2 linked regions of the Sus scrofa genome follow. The protein of the gene in region 1 interacts with the protein of each later gene in a biochemical or structural test. Links are inferred from orthologs where the notes say so. Each region holds a gene or a part of one and is shown in the gene's direction. Other genes may lie near its edges.

Region 1 (3,860 bases):
AGCCTAAGTTATATAAGAGGTGTAGTGTTTTTGATCTGGTAGCTCCTGGGCAATGGGAAGACTAGGTCTTGACCTCTACCACCCCTGCAACTTGGTAATCTCAGTGCCCATCATGTCTGACATTGTGCCTTAAACAAGTGCTTCCTAATGTCAGGCTGATTTATGGGAATCATCTGAAAATATGGGCAAGGTATTGGTTCCTGAGACCCACCTGTAGGGATTTAATTTCTGTAATTATGGGGTAGAGCCCAGGAATCTAGATGTTTTAAATTGCCAATGTAGGAGTTCCCTGGTAGTCTGGTGATTAAGGACTTGGCATTGTCACTGTTGTGGCCTGGATTACTGCCATGACTTGGTTTTGATCTCTGGCCTGCTATGGAAGTGGCCTAAATAAATAAATAAATAAAGTGCCAAGATGAGTCTTATTTTCTGCCAGGTTTGCAGACTATCTGGCAGAAATTTAAGTGCACAAATGTAAATAAATTACTGTGACTTTTTTTTAACCATTTTTCTTTTTTCTTCTAGGCTAATGGCTACAGTTTTATCAATATTGAACATGGGCAAGCAGTGTCCTTGCTAAAAACTTTCCAGAACACAGTAGAACTCATTGTTCTAAGAGAGGTTTCCTCATAAGAACCATGGACTAAAAAAAACGGCTCTCAAGAGACAGCAAGATTTATTGGAAGATTCTTGTGGGGGGAATTAATATTTTGGCTATTTTTATATATAAAGAACTCAAAAAATTATGTTCAAATTTGTACATTAATGAAATAATGGAACTTGTGGTTAGAGGGAAAGAACCACTGTACAGTATATAGGGGAGACTCTTGAATTCATACCATATAAAACTTGTTGTTAGGTTTTTAAACATAGCAATCAAGGCTACAAAAACAAATGTATGTTGTTTTTGTATAGATGGTAGGTTTATTTTTGGATTTCATACACATGATTGAACTCTGCAAGGCTCTAGTTAGCCTTGATTGTAGCCCAGAGACAGATGGCAGAGCTATCTATCTCATAGCTTTTATGCCCTCATTTTTATTCAGCTGGTATTAATGTTTTTCTGCTGAAATTACCTTTTTTTTTTTTTTTTTAATGTGGGCAAGAGATTTGAAGTGTTGGCTTTTGCTATGTGCATATTGAATTGAAGAGTGAGTAGGTGAAGGTGGTGCTGGTGGGTTCACTTTCCAAGGCCAGATTAAAACAGTTATTTCCTATAAAAATCTGGAAGCAAAAAATGGGAGGGGAACACTCTTAATGTGTTTTTATTAATAGAATAATGCAATAAAAATATAATGTCTTTTTAAAGAAAAAAAGACAATAATTGCATTTTAAGAGCTCTGCAAGATCTGTTCTTGTCATAGCCATTGACTATATACATTTGTTACTAGTGATTCAATTTTTAATTTTTTAGTCACAGGAAATTTTTAACTCTTCTGTAGATGCATGTCCACACATTTTTTTTTTCATTTTTTTGTCCATGCATTTTCTGTGATGTGGAAATCCCTTCTTTTTTTTTTTTTTTTTTTGCAAATGGTGGTACTTGCAATCTGTTTTATAATTAGTACTCCATTTTAATCTTAATTTATAATTTTTATTTTAAGCAACAAATGAAACTAAGATGGCCAGTTTTAAGATTGTGTTGCTGTAACAAAAAATGTAAGAAGATTTAGGAAAGCCTCTTGATTTCGTTTGGCCTCACATTGCCTTGGTAAAGTAAAAGGAAATAGTAAGAATGGAGCTAGGAAACCAAAGCAAGTTTGTGAAACTGGCACAGTGATAGAGAATTGCTGTGGAAAGTTGTAGAGCAAAGGGGTGGGTCCTTGAGGCCTACCAGTGTGTAAAGGTGTTCAAATAAAGGGCTGTTCCTACAGGTAACATTAAATGTGAACTCAACACTTCAGAGTCTTTAAAGGGTTTCTAAGTGCATCAGTGTAATAGTGTTTTACCACCAGCTGCCTTTGTTCCTCGTTAGTGTAACAAATATTTGATAGAGGTTTAATAATTTTGTCTGTTCAGACCATTAATTTTGTTTTTGTTCTGTCTGTGTAATCAAATAAAATTTGAGTAACATGCAATGGTAAGCATTAATGCATGGTTATTTGGACCAGAAAAAAGTGCCATAGAAGACCAATAACTGTTTTTAGTCGAGGCTAGTTTGGAGCCTTTCATTGGAGCAATATTCAGTTACTGCGATTCATTTTTAATTACTAAGAAATATAATTTTGGAATTTTTAATCTGTTACGCTTTGTTCTTCAACCTTGTTTTAATTAAGACTTTTATAGGACTAGCAAAAACAGCAATCTGTATTATTTTTGCAAAAGTGAGTTGGACTCGTTTGTCTCTTGCTAGTCAGAGTAAATAGGCAGTACTTTTAAAAAGATGTGAACTCCAATACTGCACTTCTTTCAAGATGTTATCAATTGGTTATTGTACTGTATAGTTTTAATAATATTGATTGAAACCCTTTAACAACTCTTTGTAAATTTTAACTCATTTTAGTTGATTTTCAGTACTTATTTACATAGGAATTGATTTTTATGGATATAGTAGAAGAAATGTGCTGTATTTTGATAAAATTCATTTATTGTATGTGTGCTGTAATCTCTTTAAAAAAAAAGAATGACAAACAGCTTCTTTAAGACAAGCCTCGTGTTCCCTTTATTCATTCTTTAATTCTGGCATTCTGAAATTATTTCCATTTTTTATTGTTCTCAGTCAGTTTTTCACATTTACATTCTGTTTTTAATACATGAGATAGGTATAATTTGACATTTTCAACTTCTTTATCTTGAATCACATACACAGACTATAATTTTGGAAAAGGAAATAAGCCACAAAGAACAATTGATTCATCAGTGATCTGAACTTAAGTTAGTTGCCTGTATATTATATTGAAATATTATAAGTGCAACAACTGTGATATGCACTAGTACTTTATTCTAATTTAAAATTTTTTAATGTTCTCTTAACTCATAATGTCAAGTAAGAAAGCTTGTTACCAAGATGAGTAGCATGACACATAACAAAAAACTAATAGCAAGATAGTTTTACGCTTAAATAGCCCAAGTTTTCTTCTAAAATACTGGATAAAGTTAAATAACAAGAACTCTTCATTAGAATTTTTATTTTAGAAATGATAAAATTTCAACATTTGAAAGAGTAATAATTTAAATATTTTGAGAAAATAGAGAAGACATTTTTATATATTATTGAGTAATTTGTAGTTAAGGCCCATACCCATAATTGACATACTTATTTTTAGTAAGTATTATATAGCAAACCATCAAAACCAAAGTTGTCATATTTTTAGTGTTTAGAGGATTATATGTCTAGGACAAAATTACTTACACAAACTAAAGATTTATGCTGATTCATTAAGGAATCATTGGTTTCTCTGAGTCCATGACATTATAAAATCCACTACATATTTATTTTGTAAATATTTTTATGACTTCTTAGGACTTCAAGATGTGCATATAGTTGAAAAATTCTTTAAATACAAACATTGCCTTGAACAGAGCTAAACTTTTAAGTATTTGCTGTGCTTAAAATCCCATTAGCAGTTATATAATATTTTATTAGCATTTATACAACATCCCAAATTGTGATTATGAAATTCAGGGTGAGAAGAATTGTCATAAAAAGAAATACATACAGTTATCTTCTTTGACTATTTAAACACTTAAGTTTATGATATGAAGAAAGTGTAGGTTTACCTTGAATTACTGTTTTTTACTTCTGAAGGAAGGCATTGGGATGGAAATGTTTTTTGGTTAGTTGGAGATTGGTGATCAGTCAAATATCTTTTGACAGAGTATTTTTTTTTAATTTGTTGGGGCTCTTGGTTTAATGTATA
Region 2 (4,495 bases), on another chromosome or scaffold:
GGTGCGGCTCCTGGCCCTGCCTAGTGGGTCGGGGATCTGGTGGTAGTGTGAGCTGTGGTGCAGGTCGCACATGCGGCTCAGACCTAGTGTGGCTGTGGCTGTGGTGTAGGCCGGCAGCCACAGCTCCAACTCTGCCCCTAGCCGGGACCCTCCATATGTGCGGGTGTGGCCCTAAAAAGACAACACAACAGCAGAAACAAACAAAAGTCCTTTAGGATGTAACTGTTTTGTGACTATTGGAAAACACCTGTAAGCTGTCCCTGTCATTGGTTAATGATCCGCATTCCTGGGTTACCTGTGCTGGTTGTTTCTGGCCGGTGACGTGTCGTGTGTCCTTGCAGGCACGGCTGCGCTGGAGGAGGACGCCCAGATCCTGAAGGTCATTGAGGCTTACTGCACCAGCGCCAAGACGCGCCAGACGCTCAACTCGAGTGAGTGCCCAGGGACGGCCGGGGCCCCGGACTGGCTCGGCTGAGCAGTCCGTCCCTCATGGGGGCGCATCCTCGGCCAGCACCCCTGCATCGTGGGGATGGGCCTGAGCTGTTCAGTAAAAGAGCTGATTTCTAACAAGCGCTCCACTGGGAAACCTTGAGGTGTAAGGGCCGGCCAGATTTAGAAACCCTGTCAGGCTTAGAAGGCAGTGGGGGGAGTCTGTCAGCTCAGAGTGTGCCGGTGGTGTGTTGGTTTCTGGCTACTTAGAATTGTTGCCAAAAACATAAGCCTAGGCCATTCCTTTTGTGGCTCAGCTGTAACGAACCCAACTACTATCCATGAGGATGCAGATTCGATCCCTGGCCTCGTTCAGTGGGTTAAGGATCTGGTGTTGCCGTGAGCTGTGGTGTGGGTTGCAGATGCGGCTTGGAACTGGCGTTGCTATGACTGTGGTGTAGACCGGCCGCTACAGCTTCAGTTGGCCCATATGCCGCAGGTGCGGCCCTAAAAAGAAAAAAAAAAAGCCTAGAGTAAGTTCTTTTAGCCAACTCCCCCTTTTAAAAATGATTGCATTGAGAAGTTTTTGAGATGGGTACCATTGAATTCACCTGCATCTCACTGGGCGCAGTGTCTTAGGTGAAAAAAGTCTGTATCTGTTGAGTGAACAGTGAGAAGAGGACGCTTTTCTGTTTTAATTTCCCCAGCATTTGGGAGTTGAGCACAGGGTGGCGAGGCCTCAGATGGGGTGTGCATGTGGTTTGTTCAGGAGGAGGCCAGAGCTTCCTTTGCTGGCGCTGGGGGCCCCGGTGTCCCCCTCCCCATCTGGAAACTCGTTTATGGCCAGGAGTTTATGTGTCCACCCGTGATGACGCCCTTGGATGTTCGGTCCGTTCTCTGGTGAGAAAGCCTGTCCCTGGTGACCAGTCCGGGGCAGGAGGACCTGGAAAGGCCTCACCATGGCGTGAGTCTGCAGACGATGGAGTGGTAGTTTTGTGACCGTCCTTGTCATTTAAGACGCGACTGTTCCATGCAGTCACTAAGAGACAGGATGCTGAGTAACAGGCTGGGAAATGTGACCGTGGTTTTTTTCGGTTTTGAATTTGAGACTTTAAAAGAATTACTCCTCTCAACTTCAGCTATTTGAAATGAAATTTTAAGCTGATGGTCGTCTCACAGAGCAGAACGGGTGATGCCAGCGCTGCGTGTGTTTCTTCGTGCAAGAGACGGGGCCCTGGTGTACGCAGGTCTCATCTTGGTGTCTGTGTTGTGTGTCCATTTCTCCTGCTGAAGGAAAGCACTGGCCAGTGCATGCACTTTGGTCTTTAGTCGATCTTATGGGCTGAGCACTCTGGGGCCCCCGAGGGCGTGCAGTTGCAGCTGGCCTCAAACGTGGCCTTCTCAGGGGCAGGTGGGGGAGATGGGTCCTCGGTGCTGGAAAAGGGGGTGGAGCTGAGATGTCTGGAGACGGATCGGGCAGAGGAGCTTTCGGTCTCGGATGTACAGTAAAGACGGCGGATCTGTCTAACCCCAAGTCCACCTCCACTCAGGATGCCAAGAAGGCTTCATCGGGCAGGCGGCTTTGGTAGCGATTCCTTGCTCAAGGATGTAACGGCTTCCTAGACAGTAGGGATTTAGGCGAAGAAATCCGAGTCAGCCGGCTGCTTGCCCTTGTGTGGTTTGGAACAGCTTTACCTCTGAGACCAGGCACAGGAGGAGCCGGTGCTGCTGTGCGGAGCCCACCCAGGTGCCCACCCACTGCTGCCGGGCCAGTGTCACTGCTCACCGTCACCTGCCACATGGGCTCCTCTCTGTTCCCCACGTCCCTCCGCCCTTTTCCTGCCGTAGAGGCGTTACCGTCGCGTCTCCCTTTGTGCTGCGGGGAGTGTCCGTGTCAGGTCGGTGGCGTTGAGCAGATGTGTCCCCTCCCCCCAGTCCCTCACCCTGGCCAAGGGCTGGTGAGCACCCTGGGGCTGGGGATGGGCCCACCCTGCGGCTGGAGGAGCCAGGGGCAGTGGGCCTGTGTCACCCCCATAAGGTAAGTTTGGGACCCCCCCCCCTCTTTAAAATGGCTTCTGCTGATTTGGATGGAGTCTGGCAGAGAGCCTGCTGCAGAAGTAAGTCACAGATTCCTGGGAAGTGTTTTGCACTCGGCGTATCCACAGTGACCCTGTAAATGCTCCCAACCGAGACAGTTTGTTACTCAGCTGTGCAGCAGGCTTGCTCACTGTCACATGTCTTCAGAATGTTCTTGTGGACGTGAGCTTAATTTGTCATAAAACGATGCAGTGAGGGCCTAAGAGCAAGAGTGTCACAAAGAGCAGTTTGGAGATGGTTCGGGGACTTGGGTTGAAATAGTAATTGCTCTCGCTTTACTCTGAGGGTTGTGCTAATTAATGAGCTCGTTATTACAGTCCAGCCATGAATGAGGAGAAATGAATGTTGTTGCATTTTTTAACAATATTTTCTCTTTCCCTTCTCTTCCCATCACCTTTTGCTTTTGTTTTCACGTTTTGGTTGTGGCTCTTCCTGCCGTCCTCCCGCCCCCCCCCGCCTGTCCCCCCCCCCTCCGCCCCCGCCCCCGCCCCGTCGTAGCATGGCAAGGCACTGACCTGATGCATAATCACGTCTTGGCTGATGATGACCAATCAAGTCTAGACTCCTTGGGTCGTCGCAGCAGCCTTTCTCGCTTGGAGCCCTCAGACCTCTCGGAAGACTCTGACTATGACAGTGTATGGACAGCCCATAGTTACAGGATGGGCTCGACCTCTCGTAAGAGCTGCTGCTCATATATCTCTCACCAGAACTAATGCACCTCTGAGCTGTTCTTAACGATGCCTGTTGTACTGCAGCCTGCTTTTCTTAGATGTTTCCTTGCTGTTTCCTGTCTCTTTTATGTGATATTTTAACAACCTGGAGAGCGTTTCTGATGTTTCCCGTTGTACTCTGTGCAGGCCGACTTGCCGTCACCGACTGTGGACGGGAACGGCGGGTGCCCGCGGCCCGGGCCTCCGGGGGGCAGTGCGGGTCTTAGAGCTGCACGTGGTTTGGTTCTATTCTCAGCGTAGCGACTGTCTCGCTCTGTGGATGCAGCTGTATGAGCATGTCTGTGTTTTGTACTGGAACCACACGGGCGTGGGAGCCAGGTGCCAGCCACACGGGGGAGACTCGGCCCCGTACAGGGGTCTAGACGGTGTGTGGGCCAGACACAGCGACCGGTGGGTGAGGCGCGTGAGGAGAAACCTGCCTTCAGGGCCGAGCCCAGTGCAGCCGAGGCCTGAGCCGACTCAGGCCCCGGCTGACCACGAGGGGCCTCTGGTGGTATGGCTGGTGTGGGCTCCGGGCCTGGGCAGAAGCACCCCCGGCCGAGCACGTCCACCCACCACGGATGGGTGTCCCCAGGTCCCCACTTCTCGGCAGGCCAGACGCCCACTCGGCATCACCCCAGACCTTGCTCAGGTGGAGACGTGTCAGGCTGCGTCAGGGCCGCCTCTAAGCTTACCTGAGGGCTGAGGGCACGGCCTGGGTCCCGGCCTGGCCGTCCCCCACCGCCACACCCCCGCCCCTGCTCCCGCCTGTGCTGGGACGCGCTGTCTGTTTCTAGCCACCCGCCACAGTGAAGCCCCGTGCAGCACCTGGTGGCGTGTCCCCCACGTTCCCGGTTGTGACGGGTGTGTGTCCCTGGAGTAAGTCTCCCCTGAGCATGTCTCAGATTTGGGGTTTGCTGGGAGGAGACCTCCCTGCCCTCACCCCCCGAGTTCTGCTTCAGGAAGACCTGCACGTGCCACGTCGTGTTCGGTCGTAGCGCCCGGTCCCCGCTGGGGAGGAGCCCACGGCCATGTGGAGGGCTCCGAGCCAGCGTCCGGGAGCTCCAGGCCGTGGCGATAGGGAGAGCCGTGTCCTCCTGCCCGCGGGGCCGTGTCCTCCGCCACAGCCCACGCTCAGCCCCGCGCTCAGCGTCCTGACCTTGAGCGCCAGGCCCTCCGGGCGCAGCCTCAGCGCCGCGTGCAGGGCGGGCTCAGCAGGGGCGGGGGCCCAGGTGGTAGCTCCCCAACGGCTCGTGCCC

The links. The genes of interacting proteins can lie anywhere in the genome.
Region 2: the proteins of ERBIN (region 1) and ARHGEF7 interact in a test that uses a peptide from one of them, tested with the Homo sapiens proteins (2 studies listed by BioGRID and IntAct). The link is inferred for Sus scrofa from reciprocal best matches to the Homo sapiens genes ERBIN and ARHGEF7.

The regions. Positions count from the first base shown.
Region 1 is NC_010458.4:44,530,706-44,534,565, forward strand, and holds the end of ERBIN (erbin), read left to right. Parts: intron 1-525; coding exon 526-633; 3' UTR 634-2,648; downstream 2,649-3,860. UniProt on the Homo sapiens protein: Acts as an adapter for the receptor ERBB2, in epithelia. By binding the unphosphorylated 'Tyr-1248' of receptor ERBB2, it may contribute to stabilize this unphosphorylated state.
Region 2 is NC_010453.5:77,517,087-77,521,581, forward strand, and holds part of ARHGEF7 (rho guanine nucleotide exchange factor 7), read left to right. Parts: intron 1-341; coding exon 342-431; intron 432-3,024; coding exon 3,025-3,201; coding exon of another isoform or gene 3,202-3,239; exon of another isoform or gene 3,240-4,495. UniProt on the Homo sapiens protein: Acts as a RAC1 guanine nucleotide exchange factor (GEF) and can induce membrane ruffling. Functions in cell migration, attachment and cell spreading. Promotes targeting of RAC1 to focal adhesions. May function as a positive regulator of apoptosis.